Linked DNA regions of Sus scrofa. The protein of the gene in region 3 interacts with the protein of the main gene of each other region in a pairwise test. Links are inferred from orthologs where the notes say so. Each region holds a gene or a part of one and is shown on either strand. Other genes may lie near its edges.

Evidence for each region.
Region 1: the proteins of CPSF7 (region 3) and CLK2 interact in binary tests that used the Homo sapiens proteins (3 or more experiments, as listed by UniProt). The link is inferred for Sus scrofa from reciprocal best matches to the Homo sapiens genes CPSF7 and CLK2.
Region 2: the proteins of CPSF7 (region 3) and SMAD3 interact in binary tests that used the Homo sapiens proteins (3 or more experiments, as listed by UniProt). The two-hybrid records come from large-scale screens. The link is inferred for Sus scrofa from reciprocal best matches to the Homo sapiens genes CPSF7 and SMAD3.

Annotation. Positions count from the first base shown.
Region 1 is NC_010446.5:94,553,330-94,563,574, reverse strand, and holds the start of CLK2 (dual specificity protein kinase CLK2), read right to left. Parts: upstream 5,291-10,245; 5' UTR 4,948-5,290; exon of another isoform or gene 3,470-4,947; intron 3,415-3,469; exon of another isoform or gene 3,114-3,414; intron 1,309-3,113; coding exon 1,139-1,308; intron 1-1,138. Other genes in the region: HCN3 (potassium/sodium hyperpolarization-activated cyclic nucleotide-gated channel 3), read left to right, coding at 5,729-6,012, 9,597-10,026. UniProt on the Homo sapiens protein: Dual specificity kinase acting on both serine/threonine and tyrosine-containing substrates. Phosphorylates serine- and arginine-rich (SR) proteins of the spliceosomal complex.
Region 2 is NC_010443.5:164,994,563-165,004,875, reverse strand, and holds the start of SMAD3 (mothers against decapentaplegic homolog 3), read right to left. Parts: upstream 6,420-10,313; 5' UTR 6,238-6,419; coding exon 6,032-6,237; intron 1-6,031. UniProt on the Homo sapiens protein: Receptor-regulated SMAD (R-SMAD) that is an intracellular signal transducer and transcriptional modulator activated by TGF-beta (transforming growth factor) and activin type 1 receptor kinases.
Region 3 is NC_010444.4:10,082,297-10,092,334, reverse strand, and holds the start of CPSF7 (cleavage and polyadenylation specificity factor subunit 7), read right to left. Parts: upstream 4,755-10,038; 5' UTR 4,739-4,754; coding exon 4,548-4,738; exon of another isoform or gene 4,150-4,547; intron 3,995-4,149; coding exon 3,886-3,994; intron 1-3,885. Other genes in the region: SDHAF2 (succinate dehydrogenase assembly factor 2, mitochondrial), read left to right, coding at 4,834-4,869, 9,686-9,909.

The DNA.
Region 1 (10,245 bases), on a different chromosome or scaffold from region 3:
TCTTTCAGACAAGCTTAAATGTCCATCTCTGGGAGGTTTTCTCTGAACAACAGTTCTTGCCCCACTCCAATCAAACCTTTTGGATGCTTCCTCGGCTCCTTACGACACACTTCCTCTGGGATAACCACCCCTCCTTTAATGGCTGCATCTGCGGCATGAGGAAGTTCCCTGGGCCAGGGACTGAATCAGAGCCACAGCTGTGCAACCTCTGCCACAGCTACGGCAATGCTGAATCCTTTAACCCGTTGTGCCAGGCTGGGGATAGAACCCCTATGCCCATAGCAACCCGAGCTGCTGCAATCAGATTCCTGATCCACTGCACCACAGCAGAAACTCCTGTAATAACACTGAACATTACAGTACAAATGGCTTGTTTTGTTATCTTTTTTTTGGGGGGGGGGTTTAGGGCCGCACCCATAGGTTAGGGGTCGAATTGGAGCTACAGCTGCCAGCCTACACCTCAGCCACAGCAATGCAGGATCTGAGCCATGTCTGCAACCTATACCACAGCTCACTGCAACACCAGATCCTTAACCCACTGAGGCTAGGGATCAAACCGGCATCCTCATGAATACTAGTCGGATTCGTTTCCACTGAACCATGATGGGAACTCCCTTGTTATCCATTTTTTGGGGGCCACACTGAGGCACATGGAGTTCCTGGACCAGGCATCAGATCTGAGCCGTAGCTGAGACCCAAGCAGCAACGCCAGATCCTTAACCCACTGCCAGGCTGGAGTGTACCCTCGTCCCAGCATTCCCAAGAAACTGCCAATCCCATTGCACCACAGCAGGAACTCCTTGTTACCCATTTTGAGCATAAACATCCACAAGCTGCTAAGCATGAAACCAATACATCTTTTTTTTTCCTCTTTTTGTCTTTTTAGGGCTGTACCTGCAGCATATGGAGGTTCCCAGGCTAGAGGTCAAATCGGAGCTGTACCCACTGGCCTACACCACAACCACAGCAACACCGGATCCTTAACCCACCGAGCAAGGCCAGAGATCAAACCTGCATCCTCATGGACACTAGTGAGATTCGTTTCCACTGAGCCACGATGGGAACTCCAATAAATCTTTGTTCAATTTAACAAATGAATGAGTGGATCAAGTATGAGTTTCTCTTCCTGAGGCCTCACCTCCGGGAACGGACGTGGTAGCTGTCTTCCCGTCGGCGCCGCCGTGTCCGGTCACTGCTGCTTGACCAGGAGCGGCTTCTCCGTCTCTTATGCTTTCGGCTCCGATAGTGTTCATGGTAACTCCCCCGGCTGCCTCGCTCTGAAGAATGGTACCTTCGAGGATGAGGCATCTAGAAAGGAAGGATAAACAGAAATAGTGGGGCAAGCTCTGAGTTTTCAGGCGTCCCTTCCAAGGACTGACTCCTCCAGAGATGCTAAGCTGTTTTTTTGTTTTTGTTTTTTTTAATGGCTGGACCTGTATCATACGGAGGCTCCTGGGCCAGGCCAGGAATTGAATTCCAGCTGCGACTGTGACCTATACTGAAACTGTGGCAATGTCAGAGTCTTTAACCCACCGTGCCAGGCCAGGGATCTAACCTGTACCTCCGCAGCTACCTGAGCTGCTACAGTCAGATGCCTAACCCGCTGTGCCACAGCAGGAATTCTTCTAAGCTGCTTTCTGTTCTTCAATTTTTACCTGTATTTACCACCCACAGCTTCCTCTGTGCTTAATGGAGTATATATTCACCTAATAACTCTGGCTGACAGCTTTAGGAAGCTTCACTCCACTGAGTTCATTGCTCTAGTCTGATTTTCCTCAAATATGGCTTCATGACAACATTCAGGCCACAGCTCATTACAGGTGAGACTACGTAATTGACGAAGATGGCCACAGCTCATCTTTGGCTGAGATTTTGGATGGATGTGTGCGACGCTGCATTCGCTATTGTGCTTTACTATAATGAATAATGCTTCACTATATGCTATTATGGTGTTTTACAATCATTAGTGTATCTTATCTCCCCAACTAGGCCATCTATATCCTGAGGGTAAGAATCCAGTTTTCCAGCTTTCCACTTATAGTATATATACCAAACACAAGCAAGTTCCAGGGATCTGGGTCTGGCCCCTTGAACATTTCTCACATCAATGGCCAAATCGTCCTTAAATGGTTTTAATCCAGGAGGCCCCAAGCTGCAGTCAGCTTTCCACCCAGCCCCTTCCCTTTTGGGTTAGGAAGTACCGAATAACTGCTTTTTAATTATTATCAGTACTGCCTGGCTAAAAGCCGGCCACCTTCCAGTTACTGGAATTGGAATGGCAGGGTGCACTAATTCTTTTTTCCTTCAAGGAAAGAAAATTACTGTCAGGAACCAATAAGATGAGACTTACAGGGCAGAATGAAAGTACATGGGCCAGGGACAGAGGTGCACCTTGTTGGGGGTGGCAGTGGTAGGATTAGGTGTGGAAAAGGCTTAATGATTCCAACATCTGGCTTCCATTCTGAGCTACTTCTCAAATTGAAGAGAAGGGTGGCATTTGATTCATTCCAGGCGTAAAAGGGCTTGCAGGAAGCCAAGAAGACGCAAGTACAAGATTCTCCCCGATAACCCAACCTTGCTTAACACAGCCACGCACATGTCATCTCACTACATACACAGTGCCACCAAAGTCCCTCACAGGCTTTCCTCCTTCCAACCCTCCCCCCCAACTATCTCCAGCTTACAATCTTTCTCCACTTCTAATCTTTTCCTCTCTTTCTCACTTAGAAAATCCAGAACTAACTCCTAGAGTCAAACTCTTTCCACAGCCTCCAAGTGACATGGTGGTGTCTTCCAACCTCTCCAGCTTTGGCCCAACTTTTGAGATTTCTATTCTTTCTCATCTTTGCAACCACTCCTATCTTTACTCCATCACCCCTTCTCCTACTTTGGTCCCTCCTAACTTTCCTATTGGTCTTTACCAATGCATCTAAGACAGGGCGACATTCCACCTCATCTTCCTACTCCTCACCTCTGCCACTTCGCACGTCTCAGCCCCACCCCACCCCCCAAGCTCGCCCCGGTCCCTTGCCCCCAATCCAATCTTCTCCCCGTCCGCCCCGCGGTCGCCATCTTTCCGCGCGGCCCCGCGGCCCGCCAGCCCGCGCGCTCACCGTTCTGGCGGCGAGGCCCGTGCGCTTGTCCCACAGGAAGTCCGTGATGGCGGCGGCACTGCGGCCGGAGTCCCGGCACCCCCGCGGCGACGAAGTGCGGCTCCACCCCCCCAACCCGAGACCCTGGACCTCCCGCCTCGTTCCCGGGCTCCGTTCCAGTCCCGCCCGCCCCGGCTCCGTGCCCGCCCCCAGGATCCGCTTGGCGCCGCTCGCACCGCCCCCGCCCGGGGCCCGATCCCAGCTCGGTCTCCGGCTCTGGCCTCCCCGATCCGCCGCCGCCGCCACCGCGAGCGAGCACGTACGCACGCACGCACGTCCTGCGTCGATTCCCAGCTACCCCTAGGCTCCGCCCCCCAGGACCGCGCACGCCTTCGCGTCTTAGCGTAGCTCTCTGCTGTCCGGTGAGAGCCGAGGAGGTGCTGGGGGCGGAAGCTCATGGGGGCGGGGAGAGAGTGGAAGCGGTTTATTGGGCTCGCGCTGCCTCGCCTGGTGTTCTTCCGTATCCTTCCTCAATCTTTGACCCTTTTCGTGGGACTTATGTGGCTTGCTTTGTTAGGTTTGGAGGTTGAAAGGAAGGGGTTGTGGTTTACGGAATGTCATCGCTCCGCAAACCTTTTGAAGCCTGGTGGTGAGGTGTGAGTCTCCATCATAGCCTGTTTTTGAAACAGTTCGCCTACCAAACCACAGCAAAGAGGGGTTCCCATCTTTTGTCCTGAACAAAAGCTGGTGCACGTTCTGTATATGGGGGAGGGGGGTAATGGCTTTGGAGGAAAGGTTTGAGAAATGGAGGGGTGGAGATTCAGGTGCCAAAGAAGGGGAAATCACTTGAGAACTTTGTTATATACCTACACATAATATATGATAAGTCTAAATTTGGTGAATTAAAAAAAAAAAGCAGAAGACGAGAAAAACTGGGTAGAGTTACAGATGTTATAGAAGGAATTGAGCAGTAATTAGGAAAATGAAAAATAACCTGAGGATAACTATATTCAAGTAAAGAAACAGAGAGGAGTCAGGGTGGAGGATAGTCAGAAGGAATTTTTCATCAGTTGGCCAGAAATGGTTTAGGAAAAGTTTCTTGAAATAGAAGCTGAAGGGTAATGAAGGGGTGGAGAGGAAAGTGAACCTCACTTCCTTCTCCGTGTACACTTTCCCTCGTTCATTCAAAAAGCATTTATTAAGTTCCTACTCTGTCCAGCACTGTGCCAGGCTCAAGGCTCCTGTTCTTCAGAGCTTCATAGTATAATGGGAAAGACCTGTAAACAAATAATGGCAGCCTTGTGCTAAGAGCTGTTATGAACAGTGGTGCCCTGGCCACTGTAAGAAAGCTCTAGACTACAACCCTAGCTTGGGAAAGGAGAGTTATAAATGTGTTTCTAGGTTTCCTAGAGGAGATGACATCTGAACCAATGGATGGAAAGTGAATTGGAGGAGAGTGCTAGGCAGAGAAAGTATTTACAAAAGTCTGGAGACAAAGCAAAATGAAGTGTTTAAACAGAATTGGAGTCCTGGCTTTCAAGAGAGGGACTATCAGAAGGGAGGTTGTTGAAAAGAGAGGTCTAAATTTTGCAGGGCCTTGTGTTGTCATTCTAAGGAATTTAACCGTAATCCTATAGAACACTAAGAAGTTTGAAGGATATTAAGCAAGTGAGATAGCTACATTTAGATTTAGGAAGTTAACTCTGGAAGGAGAATTGGCCTGAGAGTTGAGAGACCTATTTAGACGCTTCTGAAATAATCTGGGTGAAAAAATGCTGAGGGCTTGAAATAAGTCGGAGGCAATAAGAAATGGAGATAAAGGGAAGAATTTACTTCACATACTACTGTAATTTACCTGTTCTGTTTGCGGGCGTAGACGAGCAGTGCCTTTATGGCTAGGGCTTTGTATTCATCCTTGTATCCTCAGCGGTCGCTCAGTGATGGGCCGAGTTGCTTGTGGTGAAGGTGGCAGATGAATTCAGAAATGAAATACTCGGGGGAGCAGTAACGAGGAGATCCTTAAGAATATGCCTAGGAGAGTGCTGAGAGAAAAAAAAAAGTGAAATGCAGGAAGTCCGTAAGCGTTAGGAAGGAGAATCCCCAAAGAATCCCTGCCTCTTCCATTGGTTCCCAATTCCTCGCCCTCCGGAGCCATACGAACTACAACCGGCGTCCGGTTTTCCCGCGGATCTCAGGCGGCTCCGCCTCCCCGGCACTCCGTGGTCAAAGGCACCGCAGCTCTAGGCCACGCCCTCTTGGCACTGGCCGCGTTCTCCTACGCTCCCTGCACCTGAGGGACCGCCCACATTGGCTAAGCCACACCCACCTCGGTATCCCTCCGGTTACAGGCTTTATTGGCTCCGCCCCCTCCCGGGAGGTCTCTCGGTGGCCCCACCTCCGCCCGCCCTGCCCAGCCTTCCCGCAACTCTCGCCAGGGGGCGCAGCGCAACCCCCCTGCCACCCGCGGCAGAGTCTGTCGCACACACCCCCTCCGCCGGCGCGCCGGCAGTTCCTAGCCGACTACGCCTCCGCTCAGAGCCAGCCCGGCTGCTCCCGCTCCGACTCCGGAAAGGGTCGGGGGTCCCGAATGGCCGCGGCAGGGTATAGGAGGCCAAACGTGTAGGCCGACAGGCGTCATGGAGGCGGAGCAGCGGCCGCCGACTGGGACCAGCGACGGGGCGACCCCTGGACTGGAGGCGGCGCCTCCTGCTGCCCCGGCGTCTACGACCACGGCCTCCGGTCCGATCCCTGGGTCCGGGCCCGGGCCTGAGCCCAAGAGGAGGCAGCTCGGGACGCTGCTCCAGCCTACGGTCAACAAGTTCTCCCTTCGTGTGTTCGGCAGCCACAAAGCAGTGGAAATCGAGCAGGAGCGGGTCAAGTCAGCGGGGGCCTGGATCATCCATCCCTACAGCGACTTCCGGTACTGAGGGTCCGGCAGGGAGGGCGGGGGACACAGGTCCTACCTCCACGGGCCGGGGCACGGGGCCGGGCCAGCCCCACCCTCCACAGACACTTCATTTCCGGCCCAGGGGTCCCTTGGGGGGCCGACAGTCACTTCCCCCAACCTAGCCCGGGAATTCTTGGGCAAAGGGTCCCCAGCTGGAGATCCTGGCTGACTTCTTAGGCTGGGGGCGCTGGAAGGGACAAGCAGATTAACAGAGACCTGGATTTCCCATTTCAGGAACCCGGCACCCCACCTGGACCACAGGGAATACAGGAACTAGGGACCGCTGCCTCCTCCAGTCCTGCTTGCTGGGGATCTGGGAAATTTTATCATATTTCAAGGCTCAGGGTCAATCTGAGGGAGAAACCGAACTCTGCTATCTCCCACCGACCCCATTCCCGTCCCCAGCACCTGCCTAGTTCAGCAGGGCAGGCGACCAGGGAAAATAGGGACGCTGGGGGTGGGGGAGGGGGTGTCCAGACAACAGCTCTGATCGCTGTCCCTGGTGCTGAAGGAGGAATTCGGCCGGGCAGGGCCGAGACTCAAAAGTGATTTGAGGCAGCCACGCAGGAGCACGGCCACCGCCCAGGTGACCACCAGAGAGAAGGGACGAAGAGAGGGGGTGGGGCTATTCCACAGTCCCCATCAGGCTGTACCTCCACATCAAGGTCGCTAGGGGAGGAGAGCAACCCTGTCCTTGGGGGAAATGAAGGACAGCTTTTGGATGAGGCAAGGATGTGTGCAAAGCACCCAACTTGGGGAGCAAAATGAGCAGAAAGAATGAGGTGTGAATCAAGAGCCTGGAAACACAATTGGAGACCCAGACATCATCTTAATCCACATACACACTTCCTAAATGTTCCTAGTTCTCTCATTGTCCTTTCACTCCTCTCTTCCTTACTGCCTCATTCTCACCTTACCAGTGCACCTTTTCTAGTCTCTTGAGGGTCACTGTTCTCTCACCCATTTCACCCTCAAATGTATCCCCAGAAGCCATGTATTCCTGGTATTATTGTGCTTCTTCTCTGTCCTCTCTCCTGCATCACCCGCCAGGCTTGTGACTGCCTGTGAGTCAGGCTGTGAAGATGCTCTATGGCTAGGCAAACCCTCTTTCCCTCTCCTCTCCCAGCTCATGTACAGGATTTGTCCAGTGGCCATGAAGGAGAGGAAGTGGGGATCTAGTATTTGTTGATAGAAAGCACAGCGTCTGAGGGGCTTCCTGGAGGCCTGGATTTGGAGATCACTAAGCTTCCTTCGGGGGCTGAAAGGACTGATCTTGCAGTCAGAGTCACAAGGGGCTGCGTCCTGGGTTGATGCTGCAATTAAGTGTGTCCTGGAATTGAAACCACCATAGCTAATTAGGACCCTCAGATTGTCCAGTGATCTTTGAATGAAGGCTTCACCTCACTCCCTCCTCTCCTGACCTCTTCTTTTCACAGCTTCCACCACAGCAGTGTGGCTCTCCCTGCCCATGCCCTTGCCTGGGCTCAGCCAGAGTTCCTGTGGGCATAGGGAGGTTAGGGGAGGAAAGGAGGGCAAAGCCTCAAGCCTTGCTGCCTTGGGATCTGCTGTGGGGCTTCTCAGTATGTGCAGCGCTGTCTGAGGTGCAGGACAGGGGACACCTCTGAGAAGCTAGTTCAGATGGAAGGCAGGATAGATCACCCCCACCTTGGGACACAGATGCGCAGATCCTAGCAGAGAAACAGGAACCGTAGGCCCAGCTGTGTTGGGGAGGAGGGCTGGGGTGGGGCAGGCTAGGGAAGGCGTGAAGTCCTAGACTGGGAATGGGCAGAGAGCTGGAGATGGGAAAGGCAGCAACCTCTTCAGAAATCTGGGGATAAAGGGTGGGTGAGTCATAACACCAACTACTGCTTGTACAGCACTGTCACATCCATTGTCTTGGTGCATATTTTTTCAGCAGCCCTGTGAGAGCAGCAAAGGGGATTTATCTTTTTTTAACTTAAAAAATACTTAATAATAAAAACATATAATAGTGACATATATCATATTCATATAGTAAGGATGTTAGCTATATATTACTGTATGTGAAGAATACATATATGCACACTAGGGGTATATTTAGTAGGGATATATGTAGATATATATATATGTAGCAAATATATCTATAAGGTGGGTATATATAGTAGAACAGAATATAATAGGATGTATATATAAATTATAAACCAGGAGTTCCTGTCGTGGCACAGCGAAAATGAATCTGACTAGGAACCATGAGGCTGTGGGTTCCATCCCTGGCCTCGGTCAGTGGGTTAAGGGTCCAGTGTTGCTGTGAGCTGTGGTGTAGGTCACAGACACGGCTCAGATCTAGCGTTGCTGTGGCTGTGGCGTAGGTCGACAGCTATAGCTCCAATTTGACCCCTAGCCTGGGAACCACCATATGCTGCAGGTGTCGCCCTCAAAAGACAAAAAAGACAAAAAAAAAAATTATAAACCAGACTCCCATATAACAACTATACTGACTATACTGTGGGTGTCCCAGAAGGCTTCCTACTGCTCTCACATTCCTTTCCCAAACCCACTATTTTAACTTTCTTTTTTTTTTTTTTTAAATGGCCACACCTGTGGCACATGGAGGTTCCCAAGCCAGAGATTGAATCCAAGCTGCAGCTGTGACCTGCAGTGCAGCCGTGGCAATGCCAGATCCTTGACCTCACTGCACTGGGTTAAAGGATCGCAGGGGGTCAAACCTGTACCTCTGCAGCAACCAGAGCTGCTGCGTACCACAGCAGGAACTCTCAATTTTTGTGGTCTCCATTTCCTTACTCATATTTATGGTTTTACCGCTTTTCTGTGACTCTCTAAGTAATGCCGTTTAGGTTAGCCTATTTTTGAACTTTTATGAGTGAAACCACATAGTATGTTTTGTTTCTCAGAATTACCTTTGGAAGATTCATTCGTATTGCCAAAGGTAGCTGCAGTTGGGTGGTTTCACAGCTGTATGGTATTCCGGGGCATGAGTATATCGTAGTGTATTTATCTACGGTGTTTGTCTTATTTACACTTTTCCACTGATGGACATTTGAATTATTTACAGATATTTATTTATTTATTTATTTGTCTTTTTGCCTTTTCTAGGGCTGCTCCTGAGGCATATGGAGGTTCCCAGGCTAGGGGTCAAATCGGAGCTGTAGCTGCCGGCCTACACCACAGCTCACAGCAACGCCAGATCCTTAACCCACTGAGCAAGGCCAGGGATCGAACCTGCAACCTCATGGTTCCTGGTCGGATTCATTAACCACTGAGCCACGACAGGAACTCCGAATTATTTGCAGATATGATGCAGTTATTCCTGTATATATCTCCTGAAACACGTTTTCCCTTGCATGTGTATATACCTAGGAATAGAATTGCAGGGTTGCCAGAAATGCAAATGTCTAACTTTACTGGGTAATTCCAATTGGTGGTCCCAATTTACACCTCCACCAGCTGTAAACGGTCGTTCTGTTATGCTGTATCCTTGCGCGCTTTTGGCCGAGTCAGACTTTCTGCCCTTGTGAAATAGCACGGTGGTCTTACTCCCCATCCCACCCTTACCTTAGGTTTTACTGGGACCTGATCATGCTCCTGCTGATGGTGGGCAACCTCATTGTGCTACCTGTGGGCATCACCTTCTTCAAGGAGGAGAACTCTCCGCCTTGGATTGTCTTCAACGTCCTCTCTGACACTTTCTTCCTGATGGATCTGGTGCTCAATTTCCGCACCGGCATTGTCGTTGAGGAGGGCGCTGAGATCCTGCTGGCACCTCGGGCCATCCGTACACGCTACTTGCGCACCTGGTTCCTGGTCGACCTCATCTCCTCTATTCCCGTGGATTACATTTTCCTGGTGGTGGAGCTGGAGCCACGACTGGACGCCGAGGTCTACAAAACAGCGCGGGCCCTGCGCATCGTGCGTTTCACCAAGATCCTTAGCCTGCTGCGGCTGCTCCGCCTCTCCCGCCTCATCCGCTACATACACCAGTGGGAGGAGGTGGGGTGGGGAGGTGGGCAGGGGGGCTTGCAGACTCCTCCAGACAGTGATGGGGTGGGGCTCCTGGCGACTTCGTGGGGTGGGGTGGATGGGTGGAGCTTCCAAGCGTGGATGGGTGCTCTCCAAAGTTGGAGGAAATGTAGGGTCAGAATGAAGGTCCAGGGAATGGGTCCCCAAGGTGAGAGGATGGTAGTGCAGGAGGGTGGAACACAGCTGCTG
Region 2 (10,313 bases), on a different chromosome or scaffold from region 3:
GTCATTTAAAATTTTACATCCTTGCCAAGATTTTTTACGATACATGATTAAAGGCTCTTATGTCCATGCAGAACCTCAGGCTGACAGGACTTATTTTCCGCAAGTGTTAACCAGAGAAATGAAAACCCAAGCCCCACCAAAACTCTGAAATTCTAAGCATCCACGGTCACCTCTGAGTTGCCCATTTTTTTTTTTTTTTTTTTTTTTTGTCTTTTGTCTTTTTGTTGTTGCTATTTCTTGGGCCGCTCCCGCGGCATATGGAGGTTCCCAGGCTAGGGGTTGAATCGGAGCTGTAGCCACCAGCCTACGCCAGAGCCACAGCAACACGGGATCCGAGCCGCGTCTGCAACCTACACCACAGCTCACGGCAATGCCGGATCGTTAACCCACTGAGCAAGGGCAGGGACCGAACCCACAACCTCATGGTTCCTAGTCGGATTCGTTAACCACTGCGCCACGACGGGAACTCCCTTTTTTTTTTTCTTTTGAGTTGCCCACTTTTTAACGATATGGGGTCTGTTATATTCTGATCTAAGATATCTACCATCACCATGCCCACCAAGGAAACCTGAATTTCAGGTTTGCAATATTAATTACTTTTTTACTTCAAAGAGAGAACACTTGGCAGTGGAATAAACTGCTGAACACAAGGCACTAGCCATTCGGCGCAAACTATGAGGTAACACACTCACAGCAGTGCTCTGCTTTGGAAGAGGAGGAAGATAAAGATACCCTCATTCTTGGAGGCAACTATCACCGTGAACCCAAAAGTTGGCATGATGGTGTTACAGTCCAGAAACTTCTTTCGGATAAGAACTCCTGTCCTCGTTTCGGTTTCCTGCCTCACATGGACCCCTCCCTCCTCTCCCCATGTCCTCCACAGAATGAACAGTCTGTCTCCCACATCCCTGGACACTCTGAACATCCCTTGGCTGCAGCTCATGCCCTATATATTTTTTTTTTTGGACATAAACCCAATGATTTATTGTCACTGTTGCTCCTGCCCCCAAAAGCTATAAGAGTACACTTTATTAATATACTATGTCAAAGGAAATTACTGGTGCGTAGAGAAAATAAGGACCCACGAAATGCATAAAATGTGTAAATAGTCTATTAGCCTATCAGTATAAATGGGGAACCAGTGGCAACAAAAATCTGAAAAAAAAAATGTCACTGATAAGTACAGTTGGTCATAGGTTAAAGAAAGTATAATTCTTAGTAATTTCTATGAATACCAAGGTGGCTCCTGCATACATGGCCTGTATTTTGGCCCAAGTCTGTCTCCCACTCCAGACAGGGAGCCCCCCTGGAGAACAGGTGCCCTTCCCTGCTCATCAAAGTAGGTATTGAATGAATGACTGAATAATTTAGTAATGAATGAATGATATACATAGAAGGCTAAACAGAGCACATCTGTCAAACTCTGGTTTAAAAACATTTCCACAAGCTTTACCTCATCCTGATTTTACAGGTGCTGACATGAAGGCTCTAAGACATTAAGGGAACTGCTAAATCCATCCAGGTATTAAAACAGCAAGACACAGGACCTGACTTCTGTGCTTTTTTTCTGGAGAATACAGATAGCTGTCATTGTTTTGTTTTCTAACATAGTGACTTCCACAATATTGAAAACACACAACACAAATCTCCCACACTCCCCCCAAATATCACTCCCTCCCAGAGTTCTTATTTTTTCTGATGGCTGGGAATAAGAGAAATAGACACTCAAAGATAACACCTTACTAATGTTTCCCTTATTGAAGTGTAAGCTCCTCACAGGCAGGAGCCATCTCAAATTTATCTCGGCATCCTCCCCGCCCCCTGCCTGGAATATTGACACAGACATGGGAGAGACCAAAAAATAACGATGAATTCACAAAATGCAACCCTGGAGCCCTTGATTAGGAACCGTGAGCAAGGGGCTGTCTGCAACAAGCACTGGCCCAAATGTTCAACTCCGAAAAGCACAGGCAGCACATGCCAAGGTTCCAAATGTCAGGGGAACATCAGATGGCTCCTAGGTTCAGCTACACAGTCACCTACCTGATGGCCTGCAGGTCCCTCCTCTTCCCAGCCCTTGTGTGGAACTCCCCTAATCAAGGGGAACAAGAGAGAGGAGAGGGTGGGCCACCCCCCAGCAGCCACAATTGCGCTTGCTTCTGGGGGGCCACCCAAGGATGGTGCTCTGAGCAGCAGCTGAGAAAGGGGAGAAGACATGAGAAGTTGAGATGGAGAGGGGATTAAAGAGGCCACTCCTGCACCCTTGGTGTGTCCCCAGAAGTCTGAGGAAGGAGCGTTAGAGAGAAGGGTCTTTTCTCTTTCTCCTTGGGTGAGAGCAGCCTGGCAAAGTCTAGGTGGGTAATAGGAGGAGGCGGTGCCAAGAGAACAGATGCACAGGTAGGGAGGAGAGGGTGGGGGTCAGACCTGGCATCTGGTTCAATTCCCCCATTTCCCTCTGGACGTGGTGCTTTGACATAAGAAAGCCCAAATTCCCATCCAGACAAACCAGGCCTTAAGCATGGTCCCGCTCTCAACAGCTGGGCCTGGGCAGGAATCCCATCGGTGGGAAGACAAGTTACTGCTATCCATCAGAACAGTCTTTTTTATTTTTCTTCAAATAATCCTATTCTTTAAAATTTATTTTATTGAAGTATAGCTGATTTACAATGTTGTGTTAATTTCTAAAGTATACACTCTTTTTCATACTCTTTCCCATTCTGGCTTATCACGGGATACTGAACATAGTTCCCTGTGCTACACAGCAGGATCTTGTTGTTTATCCACTCTGTACATAATCATTTGCCTCTGCTAACCTCGAACTCCCAATCCATCCCTTCCCCCTTGGCAGTGAGTCTAGAACAGTCATTTTTAAGTGTGTGCGAGGCTCTTGATCACCGACACAACATATACATACCTTCTCGACTGCTCTGTGGGACATGCTATAAGTCCATTCTTATCAACTGGTCAGGAAGATACCTGCAGCTGTACTCGGGAACTCAAGCAGGTGACAAGTAGGATGCTGTTACACAACTTGTCCAAGCTCTGCCCATCCTGCCAGACCTCGGAGTATCCTGAGAGCCCCTCTGTTGGTGTATCTAAATTAAGCTCTTACCACAGCCTTGGCACCTGTCTCTCTTACGTTCTTGATGTCAGTAAGCCTGTTTCACTCCAGCTGTCCTGATCACTGAGACAGGTTAGAGACGGGGCAAGAGACACAAGTGTGCAGTCTGGGAGGCCCGAGTTAACAGCTCTAATTGCCAAACCGTGCTGTTGCTGCTCATGATTACATATTAGCCAAAATACGCTTGTCAAAATCTCCTTAGACTGAAGGCTCCTTAAACCCCAAGGTCCAGATCTTGCAGAATACTTTTAAGAACCCAGGGCCCCACCTCCCACACACAGTAGGATAACTAGGTTAAACACTTCCCTTTGTCAACTTTCCAAAGCCCTAGTCATAAAAGTCAGCGGGGAGAGAGCAGACAATTTGACAAGCAACACCACAATCTATGGGGCTCAGAAACACACCGATGTCCCTGGGGTGAGGCCAGCTAGCCACCTCCCCAAGATGTGGCCTTTAGTTTGTAGCCCACGACCAAAACAGCAGCAGCAGTTGCCAAGGGAGACAAGGTGACCCAGCGGCGTGGGCACAAAAACCAGGGATGGAAATCCACTTTGTCTGGATCCACCCAAGCGACTGGGTTTCCCTAATTGAAAAAGATGGAAAAAAAAAAAAATCTGCCTCAGCACTAGGTCCTTGCCAGACAGGTAGAAGACGGCCCAGTCCTAAGAGAATCATGAGAAGGCCAAGTTAACCTGAACTCTCAGAAACACCTGAAGTGTCCAATACCTCGGGCTGCAGAGGACTTTGAAAGAGGAAAAGACAGACCACAGCTGTGCTTCCCCAGAGGGCAAACTCCTACTAAGGCAAGGGAGAACAAGGCCTCTCCTCCAGGCTGTCACTAGCCCAGAGGCCGACACTGGCAATGTTACCAACAAAGATCCTAGGGGCCCATCCCTCTGGCTAACACAGCTTTAGCGGTCAGCAAAGAATGTATTCCAAAGCTTCAAAGTGCAGAGCAGCCTGGCCTAGCAGAAGGAGCACATTTGGTCAGAATCCCGTTACTACACCAAGCTTTTTCACCTCTCGCCTCCAAAGTTTTCTCAACTTTAAAAACAAGATAAATCTTAGGCCTAATTGCCTTATCTATTTTCCAGGAGTTTCTTTTTCTTGCTCTCATAAAACCACGTGAAAGACCTTGGTAAACTGTAAAACGCTTTACACAGCTGCTCATTTTATAATTGATACTTTTTTTTTTTCCTGTTTCAAGGCATAAAGCCCTTGCCCTCAAGGCACCGAGACAGGTAAGAAGGCAGGTTTTGCAAACCCCTCCCCAGGCGGGAGAAGTATGACATCTGTTCGCCCTACTCCTTGACCCTCATCCAAAGGAATAAAGAAGAATTAAGCACCAGGGCTGGGACCAGGACCTAGGGCTCACTGACCATCACATCACACCACCTCCTCTGAAGTCAATTCTGGCTCCTGATCACACGCCCAGAACACACTTCCCAGACAGCACATTGCCTTCCCTCCCGCTTTATTGACTGGATCCACCCAGTTTTGAAAAAAAAAATTATTATTTTTCAAGTCAGCACTCCCACCATATGCAGCATTTATTTCCAGGGGAGGCCTGCCCTGGGTTCCCGTGGACAGATGTTGCTTTGTGCCTGCCTGACACGGCTGGCAGCCTTTATACAGCTGCCCCAAGCAGGTGGCCAAGGACGGAGTTCACTCCTGGCCCCAGCAGCAAGGATGGCAATTTCTGTGGGGTGCAGGCCCTGGGGACCCTCCACTCAATCCTCTGCAGCCCAGGACCCAAAGGACATCTCCCCCACCCCACCCCACCCTGCCCCCCCACACACACACTTTCTCTCTCTCTCTCTCTCTCTCTCACACACACACACACACACACACACACACACACACACACACTCCCTTGGAGCAGAATCGGACTTCTAAAGGGGGCTGGCTGAGAGGGAAAGACAGGAGACTATGGTGCCCCCACACCCCAATTCCCAGCCAGGCGCAGCGAAGCTAAAAGAAGGCCCTGGGGAGTGGAGAGAAGTCACTGACCCCTTCTATCAGCCATCTGTGAGCTCCCGCCTGACCTAGCTAGCGCAAAGTGGAGGATAAAGGAGGTCCAGACAGATGGCACAGCGCTTTGGGAAGGAAGGCTCTGTAGGAATGCGAGGGCCGAGGCGAGGCCCCCCTTTGGGGTGCGTTTTGTTATCTCCTCAGTTCTCAGCCCCCCGCGTTTTGCAGCCACTCGCAATCTATGGCTGAAAGGTGGGCCAAAAAACAGTCGGGGGAGAAGACCCTACCCTCTGCCACTTATCTCTCTCATTTGAAAGTCAGACCACCCCACTGCAAGTAAAGTGCGTGTGTGTGCGGAGGGGGCGGGAGACTGGCACAACCGAATCTAAAAATACTCGATAAAAATGCTAATCCCGAAGGCAAAGAGAGAACGAAGAAGGAATCTGTCAATCACGAGGCTCCCGCTCCTCACCCACAGCCCCAGCTGTACGGACTGCATTCCTGCCGAGGAGGAAAGAAGTGGGGGGACAGGGATGAAGAAAAGAAAGGGAGAGACACCACCACCTCCACGAGCGCGGGCCGCGGGGGCGGGAGGCGGCGGCGGAGGAGGGGCTCCGGCCCGCGGAGCTGAACAAAGCGGGCCTCAAGTTCTAGCCCGCAGCTCCCCCGGGGTGGGGGCCGCCGATTCCAGCAGCACCCGCTTTCCCGGAGGTGAAAAGCGAATACGAGGTCTGGGAGCGCGAATGCCGTGTGGAAGCCTCAGGCTCTGAATCTCTGCAAATCCAGAGAAGGTTTTGTTTGGGGTCCCCCGCTTTCCTGTCTGTGTTCCCACCGCCCCCCCCCTACACACACACGGGCACCCAGGCCACCCCTCCGTTCCAACCCCCCGCCACGCCAGGGGGCTGGGCGGGCGCGCCCCAGGGTCCCTCGGGCCCCCACCTGGGGATGGTGATGCACTTGGTGTTGACGTTCTGCGTGGTGATGGCCTTCTCCAGTTCGTCCAGCTGCCCCGTCTTCTTGAGCTTCTTGACCAAACTCTTGACCGCCTTCTCGCACCACTTCTCCTCCTGCCCGTTCTGCTCACCCTTCTTCCAGCCCAGCAGGCGTTTCACGATCGGGGGCGTGAAGGGCAGGATGGACGACATGGCTGGGGAGGGCGCGCGGGCGGCGAGGGGCGCCCCCGGCGGGGCTGGGCGCGGCGGAACGCCGGGGGCGCAGCGGGGAGCTCGGCCGGGCTGGCCGCGGCCGCCCAAACTTCGCCTCAACTCTCGGCGAACTTGCCGGTGCTCCCGGCCGGGCCGCGGCGCTGCAGCCTGCGGGGCTCGGCGTGCGGCCCTGTGCCCCGGGCGGCTCCCTCGGTGAGGAGAAGAGCGGCGGGGAGAAGGGCGGGCGGCAGCGGCACGGGATCGGGAAGGCCCCGGACGCGGGGCGGAGGCGGCGGCCGCGGGGCTCCGAGTGGCAGAAGAAAGTTTGGGTTTCCGCACGGGGTGGCTGTTTGGGTGCCGCCTCCAGGAAGGAAAGTCCAACCCTCAGCCAAACTTTGCTCGCCTCGCTCGCTTTGATGCGCAGATCCCTCCGCCTCGGCAGCCTCGCCTCCCTGCTGCCCTCCTCCTTCCCGGCTCTCTCGCTCGCTCGCTGGGCCGGCCCGGGGCGTGCGCCGCGCTCCCGCTCCCGCTCCCGCCCGCTCCCAGTCTGTGTTTCATGCAAATCCGCGTGCAGCCTCCTTTCCAAGCGCTGTCACCGCCCCCTTGCCGCCGGGGCTCCCCGCCTCCTCCCCCGCGCCCCGCCGCCTCCTCCCGCGGGCGCCCTGCCCGCCCCCCGCCTCCGGGAGGGCGCCGGGCCGTCCCCCGCCCGGCGCGGAGCACGCCCACGTGGGCGACCGGGGGCTGCGGCGGACCTGGCTGGAGCTCGCAAGACCCCGCGCGGCCCTGACCTGAATCCGGCGGGCGCCGGGAGGAAGTCGTGGGAAAGGAGCGGCGAGAGGGGCCCCGGACGGGAGGGCCGGGCTCGGGCCGTGGCGTCCGCTCTCGGAACCCACACTAAGAAAGTTCAGTTGGCGTGGCGGGCCCGAGAGGGTTAGGCTCGCACGAACGCACGACGTCTGGCCGCAGGCTGGCCGTGCATCCCTGGGAGGACCCGGGTCCGAGAGAGGGCGTGCGCAAAGCTGAGGCCCAGGAAGGCTGGCAGCGCACTGGTATGCGGGCACGCGAATCCCGGTTAGGGACCTTGGTGGCGCCGGTGACTCTAGGGCTCCTTTAATTCTAGCACCGGTGAGATCTTACCGGTTTAGAGCCCCGAGACCGTGCGAAGGAGGGATTAGGAAGGGGCTCGCTCTCAGAAGTGGAGATTCGGGGACCCTAGTGACTCCCTGTATAATAACTGGAGCCAGGGGGTCCCAGGGGCCTTGGGAAACAAGTGCCCAGCAGAAAACGGGCCTCAAAGGTATCCGTTGAGTTCAGGACGGGGCGCTTCAGAATTTATCTTTGGAGGAAAAGTTTCATTACAGGGTATTTGGAATCTTATGATGAGCAAAGAGCCGAAATTCAACACCCTATAAATAGAAGGCAAGAGCTTTGTTTTCAAAGCTGTGAACTTGCAAAAAAGTGGGGCAAGAGGGCAGTACCGGGGAACCTTATGTATTCCAAATTAGCTCTGGTGGGAAGCAAAGAAATACCAAGATATTGGGGGCCCTCTGGGGCTTCTCTCCCCAGAAGCACAATTCAAGGGCATCTGCCCCCAGACCCCTCCTGCAGCTGCTTTCAGGAGTTACCCCAGGACCCCAGGGCCTTTCTCCTGCTGCCCCTCCCCTACCAGGCCTCTAGCCTTTGTTTGTTTTTAACAGCAGGAAACTCCTGTGGTGAGAAAGAAGTTATCTGCAAACTCTGGCGGGTGGGGAGTCACAAAGCTCTGTGAGGTGTGGCCTAATCCACAAAATCAGCCCAGAAGCGCAGGGACCCCTGCAAGTAGGAGTGACTGCCCTCCTACCAGCCTGTCCGCACTGGGGCTGAGCACTAACTGGGCTCCTTGTCTTCCTCTCTTCTAACTCCCCGCCTGCTGGGACCTTAAGGGGGAATCCCTGAACCCCAACCCGGGCTTAATGACCTGATTCCCCTTCCTGGCCCATCCCCAAGCTAACTGGCAGCCAGCGTCATCTCATTTCACTCCCTTCCTCCCAGCCCTCCTCAGACCAGAGCAGGGAGGAAGGCAATCAACATTTATTGATGGCTTTCTTCCTTCCAGGTAGCCCAAGTGCTTTCCTCTGATTTTGTCTTCACAGTGGCTCTGGAGGTAAATGTCCCCCAGCCTCCCATTTACAAATGAAGCACCTGAGGTTGGAGGTTATAACATGTACTCGAGATTCCCAGGGCAGAATTGGGATTGGGACCCAGTGACTTGTGAGGCCTCGGTCCACATTCTTGCCACTGCACCCAGCCAGCTGCCTTACAGAGCTGGGAGGGTGAAGGTGACATCACAGATGGAGCTCTTTGCAACACAAAAGTTCTTTACACAGGTGCACTATTGTGATACTACAAGAAATGTTTGTTCACCTGTAAAATGGGGCTAGAAGTAGCTTTCCTCTCAACCTCCTAGGGTGGTTGTGGGGATCCAATGGGAAAAGCTTTGCAAACATCAAGTGCTGTAAAGAAATAGAAACACGCCTTGGGGGAGTTCCCACTGTGGTGCAACGGGATCAGTGAGTGGTGTCTCTGAGTGCTGGGATGCAGGTTCAATCCCTGGTCCAGCACAGTGCCTCGCAACTGAAGCTTGGATCTGATCCCTGGCCCAGGAACTCCGTATGAAGAGTAAAGAGCCAAGCAGAATGGAAGGCAGCATTCGGTTAGACTTATGTCTATGGAGCACCTCCACTGCTGGGAATCCAATGAAAGAACTTAGGTCCCTAACCTAAGGAGCTCCCTAGCTGTGTGCCTGCAAAAGGGCCCTTGCCATCATCCCAGTAAAACATTCCTTTTAACCTGAAGATCAAATCAGGCAGGTCCAACTGTTGAGAGGCAGTCAGATCCAGTCAAAGGACCTCCGGCTTCATCATGACTGACCTGGCTTTCGATCTTAGCTCTCCCTCTCCCTTCACCACACTGAGCATCTGTTCTCTTCAGCTGTAAGAATGGAGCACACAATTCTTATTACGAACCTAGAAAGAGCGCTAACGCTGTTCTCCATCCGTGGAAGCCCTTCATTTTATCAGGCAGATGCCAGGTGTGGTGAAGGGCAGTTTGCACTCTGGAGGTCAGGAGCCTAAGAGAGATCGAGGATTGAATGCACTGGGCGGGCCTGTCATGATCCTAAGCCTCTGAATCATGGCACAGGAAGGGCCCCTTGTCTTCCTGAGGGGAGGCAGTAACTAGTCAGCAGCTAGTTAGCATGGCTGAACCATGCTGTCCTGCACTGCCTTCATATGCTGGCACCCACGGGACAGGGACAGCTGTACATGCAGAAAAACACCACCAGACCCACGTGTGAGTCCAACAAGTGCCACTTCCGGGCCAGTTCTTTCTCCTCTGGCCTCCTCAGTTCCTCCACTAGAAGAGTTGGGGAAGTCAGCTCAATTACACAAAGCAGTGAGGAGGGCTGAGGCTTGGATTCTTTGGGGGCCAAGAGGACCCTACATGCTCCTTTGACCTCGGTCGGTGAGCAGGTGGGTGGCTCTGGATGGTAGGAACTCTGATCTGGTGCCTGGTCTGCTGGGGCCCAGCCTGGCCAGCTTCTGCAGAGGTTGTCCTTGGACGGGAAACATTAGCTGGGTTAATTTTTTATCACAGCGAGTGCAAAGTTCAAGAGAGGTGGGATGGGGCCGGAGGCGGTAACTCCATTTCACTGGGAATAGTCCTATGGGGAGGAGCCTCGCAAGAGGATTTGCCAGAAGGTTTTCATGGCTTTGGAGCGGCTGGCAGGTGGAATGCTGGAAAGAAACAAACACCTGTCTTCAGTTCTGGTGATTTTTCCATTTGCCAAAAGGGTGTTCATCACTAAGAGGTGAATCTAGAAAGAGCAATAAAATTGGTCTGTCTTCATCTTACCCAGACATAAAGTGACACCTGGTGAAGAGAGGGGATTTTCAACCCGGAGATAAGTCAGGATCTAGTCAGGACTAGACTTTTCCTCAGAGGGCCCTCACCTGAGAGAGCACTTCTGTCTTCAGTCAGAACTCTTTCTTGGCTCTTTGTAGCATCTTACACATGTGAGCTCTCCTGTGGCACCAGAG
Region 3 (10,038 bases):
GTGATTTCCACAGTTTAAGCAAAACCTAATTCTACAACTTAAGTGGAAAAACAGAATGTTTTATAGGCATTGATGCTGAAGGTTTCACTCCAGGGAGATTAAAGAAAAATGGGAGTTCCTGCTGTGGCACAGTGGGTTAAGAATCTGACTGCAGTGGCTAGGGTTCCAATCCTGACCCAGCACAGGGGGTTAAAGGATCCAGCATTGCTGCAGTTGCAGCGTAGGTCATAGCTGTGGCTCAGATCTAATCCCTGGCCCAGGAACTTCCATATGCTGTGGGTGAGGCTGTTTAAAAAAAAAAAAAAGAAAAGTAAAAAGGAGTATATATTTAATACTGAATTAATACCAGATAAAAATTGTGTGGGTTTGTTTGTTTTTGACTTTGAGGGCCATACCCATGGCATATGGAAGTTCCCGGCTAGGGGTTGAATCGGAGCTACAGCTACCCTCTACAGCCACAGTAATAGGGTATCTAACCTGCATCTGTGACCTACACCACAGCTCATGGAAACACCGATCCCTGACCCACTGAGAGAGGCCAGGGGTTGAACCAGCATCCTCACGGATACCAGTCTGATTTGTTTCCATTGCACCACAATGGGAACTCCAGAATTGTGTGCTTCGTAGCTGTCTCAGGAAGCTTTTGGTTTTACAAAAAAAAAGAACTTGTATGATTTTGAGTTTAAATAAGAACTTCTCAGAGTCCCAGGTGGCCTAGTGGTTAAGGATCCAGTGTTGTCACTGCTACACTGGGGTTCAATCCCTAGCCCAGACACTTCTGCATGTATAAGCCAAAGAAAGAAAGAAAGAACAAACGAACTCCTCCCCCTGTATGCTCAATGGACCTACCTGCTAGCCCTTTTCCTGATAGCTACAGGGGAATAACAAAGCTTAAGATATTTTTCCCCAAAGCAACCTATTTGATATCATTGTTTCTTTCAACTGTAACCAAAGCTCAGTTCTTGGCTCTGTAATTACTACTTCCACAGTTCTCTCCTCACACTCTCCTTCCCTGTCATTATCCATTGCCCTCAGCCATCAAGAATGGAACCTTTTTTGAGCACAGAAATCCATTTTTCCCCTTTTAGCTCGCTAATCCTAAAGCGGTGCCTAGCAAACAGAAGTAGCTCAATAAATACTTGTTGATGAAAGTAAGGAGAAAACTGGGCGTACTGTGCAAAGTGCCTGTCTCAGCAGAAGAAACAGAACAGAGGCAAAATACTCAGCAGAATGGTAGCTCTCAATTACTTTTCCAGAATTGTCCTCTCCAGCCCAAGAGGCAGCTGTGAATCCCAAGACTCCCAGTGTAACAAGAGTTAAGTAGTTAGTTCTACAAGAGGCTTTTGCAGCATGCGTTGTGAGAGATCTGGGAGTCCGCATGTAGGGCTCCATCTAAGAACTGTGCTTATTTTCCCTGGGGAGCAAAGTACACGTGACAAGGTTCTTGTGCATGGGTAACCTTGGGGTGAATCAATAACATTCTTGAAACATTCTAAAACACAATCTGTACTGGTTGCCTTCCATCTAAGTTTGCTTCTAACAATTCTAGCCAAACAGAGCTTTTACCACTTCTTTAGCAGCCTCCAAATTGTACCAAAACCAGATTGGCTAAAAATTAACTCATTTGTGGGGGAAAAAAGCACCCCTCCCCTGGACTTCCCCAAGACACAGACATTTGAAATCTATACCTTCTTCAACTTATCAAGCATTAACTACTGTCTATCTTGTATAAATGTCGACTAGGTTTCACAAATCATTTTTGGGCTGTCTTAGACCTATTAAAAAAAAAAATCGTTTAACTAAAGAGATCAGAGAACAAATAGCTGAGGCCAATGACTTCTACCCTGACAAAGCAGTGACCATTAGATAAGGCTTGTCTTGTCTATGACCTACAAGCTATACCGCTTAAAAATTACGAAATCTCATCTCTCAGACCAATGAGGCTTGATTTGTGGTCTAGAATCCTGTTCTCCATTTCTAAAAGTGAAATCAGCAGCTTAAATACTCAGTAGAATGTTGCTATTAACCCACAGATAAGGAAATTAAGGGGAAAAAAGGTGTTGGGGGGGCTGCCCTTGTGGAATGTGTAAATTCCCAGGCCAGGGACTGAACCTGGGCCACAGCAGTGACCCAAGTCACTGTAGTGACAATGTCAGATCCTTAACTCGCCACAACACAAGGGAATGCTGAGGTTTTTCAATTAACAGAAAAGAACTAAAGGAACTTTCTTTTCTTGCTATCTCACACTGTTAAAAAAAAAAAAAATCAACATAACATAAAAAGTAGTGAAAGTCTGATTCAAAGTAACATGCAAAAGTCAGGAAAACAATGGTTTGTAATTAAATATACTAATCCTTTCTTTTTATCCGTAAATAATGATTTGACTTGTTTGAAATTTGTAAAACTTTAACATACTCAGGTTAATCAGCAGTAATATACAAATTATTTCACTTTGCCTGAGAAGACATGGGGAAATGACTAACTTAAGCAAGTGAAAGAAATGACATGTATCAACCTCCTCCATTGCTTCGTATCAAAATCAGGGTCCATCAGGGCACTTTCTTCTCTAGGCCGTTTTATTTGTGGGGGGAGGGGGCACATTCTCAGCACACAGAAGTTCCAGGGCCAGGAATCAAACCTGCACCAGAAGAGCAACCCGAGCCACTCTAGTAACAATGCCAGATACTTAACCTGCTGAACCACAGGGGAACTCTCTAGCCTGTTTTTTTTAACCCTCTTTCCAGGTCCTTACATACAGCCATTGAATGCTGCCAATTGAAAGAACCAGCTTACTCAAGTAGAACAGTGCTGAAAACAATCCAGGCATGATATTAATAAGCTTTAAATAGACACTTTGGAACGTACTTGAGGTGTGTTCTCAAGAGCTCAGAATTAAACTGTATATGAGATTATTGTTTCAACGGAGATCGCTGTACAGCGTTCCTTGACATAACACAAAGAGAACAACGACCCCAAGTTAAGAGTATATTGAGTGAGTCTATATCTTCTTCCTCTCCTTTTTTTTTTTTTTTTTTGGCTTTTTAGGTCCAAACCTCCGGCTAGGGGTCAAACCGGAGCCACAGTACACCACAGCCACAGCTATGCGGGATCTGAGCAGAGTCTGCGACCTACACCACAGCTCACTGCAACGCGGGATCCTTAACCCACTGAGTGAGGCCAGGGATCGAACCTGCGTCCTCATGGATCCTAGTCGGGTTCAATAACCGCTGAGCCACGACAGGAACTCCCCTAGATCATCTTCTTAATTGGTTTGTTTGACACCATTACCTCCTCCCACCAAGCAATTAGATACATCACTAAAATTTATTACACTAAAATGTCTACGGACTTCTCAAGACTGGAGTCAAGCCTGGAAGGAAGGAAAACAGAAAACAACTGGAATGCAGCTGAAATTAAACGTTAAAGTATCTTTCATACTGTGCCTTGCGCTGCCTCATGGGGGAGGAGAGTACTCCAGCTGCGCTTTGAGAGAATCTCAAAGGAACAGACATCAATGTTGTCCTCGTGAATACCAGAGCAAATCTAATTCTGATTTCTAAGCGTGGTTAGTCTTTGAAGAGACTGACACCCAACTTCAGCTTCCTAGGGGAGCAAGTTCCACAGGTTGATACACCATTCTATTAAACCTGATTTTTATTTGCTCTTAAAGCCTTTAAAATGAAGCCTGAAGACTTAAATTAACATAAGCGGAATGGTCAGACGTCCTCAACGTCTGTGCTAGAGGGGAAATTGTTAGATCTGACATGATGTCTTCAGACCTAGTAAATCCTCAAGGACTGACATAGCTTGGAACCACGGCAAGTTTGCCGCAAGGGCTTCCTCCGCTGACACAGGGAACTCCCAAAGCTCCAGATGACCCCTCACCTGATTGAATTCCTCGTCAGCGTATATATCAATTAAATCCACTCCTTCTGACATGGTTCCGGAAGAAAGATCTCGAGCCCGGAGAACGCACAAGGTAAGAAAGATGCCACTGCGGTATCCAGAAAGAAGCAAGAGTTAGAAGGCATGAGGGTCCCGGGTGGGGAGGAGGGCATTGGTTGCCAACCTCCTGTCTCCAGAGACGCAGCATCCCGGCAGCCCAAGCTCGGCCCCACCCGCTCCGCTCCGCCCCGCCCCCGGCCTCGCGCCGCCCCTCGCTCTCCCAGGCCGCTGGGGCTCGCGGGGCTCGCTGCCCATCACCCTCGGGCCCGACCAGAGTCGCGGCGCGGCTGCCCGTAGAGCGATGAGAAAGTCCAGGCCTCTGTTCTTAGGGGCCCTCGGATGGCGCTGCGAAGAACGACCGCGGCGAAGCCCGCAGCCTCAGCCCGCCGCACCTGCCTAGGCCCCAAGCGGCCCCGGCTAGAGTCCCTGCGGGTACCAGCGCTCCAGCCACCTTGGCTCCACACCCAGGCCTAGTTTCTCGCCCCGGGGTAGGCCCGCCCCGCTCCCTCCCCACAGACCCGGCCCGACGCCCTCGGCCCCCTCCCTCAAAGGCCCGCGCCTCCCGCCGCCCGCCAACTCCCGCTGCCCCAAACTCAACCGACCCCCTCCCCGCCTCGGCGCCGTCCCCGAGCCCTCTTCCGGCCCAGCCGGCCCCCGGCCGCGCGCCCCCGTTACCGGGAATATGGCGGCGGCGGCGGCGAGTCCGGACTAGGCCCGAAGCGCGCGAACCGCTCTCGGTCCCAGGTCCCGCCCCCCCCGCCGCCGGCGTCACACGCACAGCCACTTCCGCCATGCGCGAGGACGCATCTTCCGGCTCAGACAGCGTCGCTGTGCCCGGAAGTTCCCGGAAGTGGACGGTCCGCAAGCTTCCGATGCGGGACGGGGGAAATGGCGGTGGCCACCGTATTCCCGGCTCTTTCGCGGGTGAGGAGAGTGGAGGTTCTAGGGTCCTGAGCAGGACACAGTGGGAACTGTGTCTCGTCTTCCTCCGCAATCATGGAGTCCGCGAGAAGCATAGAACTGCTCAATAACCCAGGGCAAGGGCAGACCCAAGGAGAGGTCGATATTGCAACGTAGGAGATTCAGGTCGCATCCATCCTTGCCTGAGCCCACTGTGTGCAGGTCTCGTGATATCGTTGACCGATCAGTCTTCGTGGAAGACCTAATTTAGATTTCACCTATTTCCCCACAGCCTTTGGGCACCCCTTCTCCCTGTTCTTAATTCTCTGTGTTCTTTTTCGGTCTTTTCCAGTATCTCTCATGGTTTGACGTAGCTTCATACGCTCTTTCTTTTTGGCTATAGGCTGTAAACTTCTCTCTTAGTACTGCGTTTGCTGAGTCTCATAATTTTTTGATGTTGTGTTTTTGTTTTTCTCCGTATATCTTCGAACTCCTTTTTGATTTCTCCTTTAATCTAGTGGTTGTTCTAGAATGACCGTGTTGTTTAATTTCACATATTTGAATTCTCCAGTTTTTACCTTCTGCTGTTGATTTCTAGTTTCATTCTGTTGTGGTTAGAAAAGATCTTTTATGATTTTAGTCTTTTTGTTTCATAACCTGTTTCATAAACTAATATGCTGTCTATCTTGGAGGGTGTTCTCATTGTATTTGAGAAGAATGTGCATTCTGCTGCTGTTGGATGGAATGTTTTGTATATGTATATTTGGTCCATTTGGCTTACAGTATTCACATCCTCTTTTTCCTTACTGATTTTTCTGTCTGGATGGTCTATCCATTACTGAAAGTGGTTTTTGAACTTTCCAATTATTATTGTGTTGCTGTTTATTTCTCCCTTCAGTTCTGTCCATATTTGCTTCATACATGAGGGTGCTTTCATGTTGGTAGCATGTGTATTTATAATTTTTATATTCTCAGGGTGAATTGACCCTTTTATCATTATATTATGTGCTTTAACTCTTGTGACAGTTTTCGACTTGAGGTCTGTTTTGTCTTTTATAAGCAGGGCCATCTCTGCTTTCTTTTGGTTACCATTTGCATGGAATATATTTCAAACTTTCACTTTCAGCCTACATGTTCCCTTACACCTAAAATGAGTTTCTTGTGGAGCTCCCATCCTGGCTCAGCAGTAACGAACGCAGCTAGTATCCATGAGGACTTAGGTTCAGTCCCTGGCCTTGCTCAGTGGGTTAAGGATCCAGCATTACCATGAGCTGTGGAGTAGGTCTCAGTCATGGCTTGGATCTGGTGGTGTTGTGGCTTATGTGTAGGCTGGCAGCTGCAGCTCCGATTTGACCCCTAGACTGGGAACTTCCATATGCCTTGGGTGCAGCCCTAAAAAGCAAAAAAATATAATAAATTAATTAAAAATAAATAAACATAAAAGTCTCTGTCTTTTAACTTAAAAACCAGAATTAAAAGTGACTTAGCCACCATCGTTACCATGTCCCGGTACCCTGTGTTTGTCATGTACATACCTTACCAGTGAATTTTATGCTTTCATATGCTTTTTCTTTTGCCTTTTTTTTTTTTTTTTTTTTTGCCTTTTCTAGGGCCGCTCACGTGGCATATGGAGATTCCCAGGCTAGGGGTCTAATTGGAGCCGTAGCTGCCAGGCCTACGCCAGAGCCACAGTAACTCGGGATCTGAGCCGTGTCTGCAACCTACACCACAGCTCACAGCAACGCTGGATCCTCAACCCACTGAGCAAGGCCAGGGATCGAACCTGCAACCTCGTGGTTCCTAGACAGATTCGTTACCCACTGCGCCACGACGGGAACTCCTCATATGCTTTTGTGTTACTAACATCCTTTGGATCTTTTGGGCTTCTTCAATTTGGATGTCCATTTTTTCCCCCCGGTTGGGGAAGTTTGGTGCCATTATTCCTTTAAATAAGATTTCTGTCCCTTTCTTTCTCCTTTCTTCTTCTGGGACTCCCATAATGTTTATATTGGTCTGCTTGGCGATGTCCCGTAAGTCCCTTAGGCATACTTCACTGTTTTTCTCTCTTTTTTCTTTTTCTTCCTCTGTGTAATTTCAAATGTCTGTCTTTGAGTTCACTGATTTGCTTGATCCAGGCTGCTCTTTAATCCCTGTTGTGAATTTTTCAATTTGGTTATTCTTCAGTTCCAGAATTTGGGGGTTTTTTGTTTTTTGTTTCCCTGTCTTTTTTAGGGCTGCATCTGAGGCATATGGAGGCGATTCCCAGGCTCGGGGTCGAATTGGAGCTATAGCCACTGACCTGCACCACAGCCACAGCAAAGCAGGATCTAAGCCCCATCTGTGACCTATACCACAGCTCACAACAACGCTGGATATTTAACCCACTGAACGAGGCTAGGATCGAATCCACGTCCGCATGGATACTAGTCAGATTTGTAGTATCCATAATGGGATACTCCCAAAATTTGTTTTTTTAAAATATTTCTCTGTTGATATTCTTATTTTGTTCTGTATTGTTTTCCTCAGCTCATTGAACATTTTGATGACTGTTATTTTGGGCTCTTTGTCAGCTAATTCATAAACCTCTGTTTCCAAGGTTGGTTTCTGGAAATTTATTTTATTGTTTTGATGAGGCCTTCCTTGTTTTGGTGTTTTTTTCATGTCCTTTGCAACTTTGTGCTTAGACCCATGAATTTGAAAAAACAATTACCTTTCCTAGTCCCTTGGACCAGATTTGTACAAGGAAAGACCTTTGCCAGTCAGTCTGGCTAGAGAATCTGGGGCCTCTCAAACCGTATATGTGGAAATATCTTCTCTAGACTTGTGTGCATGTAAATTCCCAACTGGAGGAATTTGCTGGCTTTTTCAGGAGCTAATAATCTCTTGCTCCCTCTAGTGTCTGTTTTTGGTGCTGCAAGCCTTTGCAGCAGCCCCCAGTCTTCTGGTGTATCCTGTTTTCAAGTTGGCCAAGACAGAAAGCAGTCCTTTGTGCTGCCCCTTGAAAAGCAGGCGCTTTGGATGCATGCTCCTCTCCTTTCTTTCCATTGGTCTCTCTGTCTCTGTACTGTGAGTCCTTAGGAGCAGCAGCAACCTGCCCAGCCATTTTTTGTTGTTGTTGTCATTTCCCTCTTTTTTAGGATCGCACCCATGGCACATGGAAGTTCCCAGGCTAGGGGTTGAATCCGAGCTGCAGCTGCCGGCCATGCCAGATCTAAGCTGTGTCTGTGACCTACACCACCGCTCATGGCAACCCCAGATCCTTAACCCACTGAGCAGGGCCAGGGATCGAACCCACATCCTCATGGATATTATTTAGGTTTGTTACTGCTGAGCCACAATGGGAACTCCAGTCTTTTTTTTTTTTTTGCCCAGCTTTCTTTTATTTTCAGAGGCACCCCAGGTATCTAGAGCATGCTGGGTCCTGTCAGGACTCTGAGACAGGCAAGACAGAAACCATTCTCTCAGGCAGCTCCCTAGAAAGCTAGAATGGCAGACACACATCCTAACTCTTCCCTCCCCAGAGAGAAGCCAGGAGTTGGGGCTTTTCTTCTGCTTGTTCTGTGCTGAGCCAGGGGTAGGGATGATAGTGAGTGTGTGCCAGTCCAGACCTTCACCTAGATCTCAGCAGCCCCCAGCCTGGCACCCTGTCACACTTGGATGCAAACAAGACAGAAGCTAGTCAAAGAGGCATCCCTGAGAGGCTACATGTTGGATGTATGTTCCAGTCTTTTCTTTCCCCTTCTCAGGGAGAAGCCAGGAGCTGAGGGTTTTCTCTGGTTACACTGGTCCGGGCCAGGGGAAGGACCATGGTGAATGAGTGCTGTGAATTTTCCTTCCGGCTATAACACAGCTGATTTTTTTTTTTTTTTTTTTTTTGTCTTTTTGCTATTTCTTGGGCCGTTCCTGCAGCATACGGAGGTTCCCAGGCTAGGGGTGCAGTTGGAGCCGTAGCCACCAGCCTACGCCAGAGCCACAGCAACACGAGATCCGAGCCACATCTGCAATCTCTGCCACAGCTCACGGCAACGCTGGATCGTTAACCCACTGAGCAAGGGCAGGGACCGAACCCGCAACCTCATGGTTCCTAGTCGGATTCGTTAACCACTGCGCCACGACGGGAACTCCAATACAGCTGATTTTATGCTCACCCAAGGTTCAGGAGCCTCTTCACTGGCTTCTGGATTTCTCATAAAGGGAATCAGTCCGAGTATTGTTGGGGAGTTGGTGTCTCCATGGGAGAAGAACGTGGGGCTTCCTATTATTCCACCATCTCGCTGATGCCACCACCCTCTCATTGCATTTGATAGTTTTAGCTCTTCTCTAGATTGGGAGATTTGGGCGGATTAGGGACCATGACATCACTGTATGCTCAGATTTTAACTCAGGCAGGGGACTAGAATGCAAACCATGGTGTAAAAATTTTAAGGGAATGCAAAGGAATGAGAAAATATTTCTGCTGGTGAGTTTCTGTAAGGTCCTGCCTAAGAACATGTTGCAGTTAGGGTTGGGTTCCAGTGCTCACCGCAGTTGCTATTTGGGTGACCTTGGTAAGTCATTTAACCTCGATGAGCCTCGACTTCCTAAACTATAAAGTGGGGACTGTATCAGCACAACTTTTTTTTTTTTTAATTGTGGTATAGTTGATTTACAATATTTTATAAATTTCAGGTGTACAATGTAGTGATTCACAATTTTTAAAGAGTATTCTCCACTTATTATAAATCAGCGTAACTTCTTAAGAACTAAAGGAGATCGGACACATTTTCACCTAGTAAGTGCTGAGTGAATGACAAAGGTGGTCGTCCCTGTCGTAAAGATGTCTGTGGCTTATTTGTTTCAGGGGCTTGCTCTGTCAAGGCGCCACCTTGTGTCTCCTTTGTTCAGCGTGACATCCTTCAGACGCTCCTACCGAGGTGACAGCCCAACAGATTCCCAAACGGACATGATTGAAATCCCTTTGCCTCCGTGGCAGGAGCGAACGGATGAATCCATAGAGACCAAAAGAGCCCGCCTGCTCTACGAGAGCAGAAAGAGGGGAATGCTGGAAAACTGCATCCTGCTTAGGTAGGGCAATAGGAGTCTGGTTGTCACTTCTCTTTGGCTGGAGACAGCCTTTTTTTTTTTTTTTTTTTTTTTTTGTCTTCTGTCTTTTTTAGGGCCATGCCAGCGGCATATGGAGGTTCCCAGGCTAGG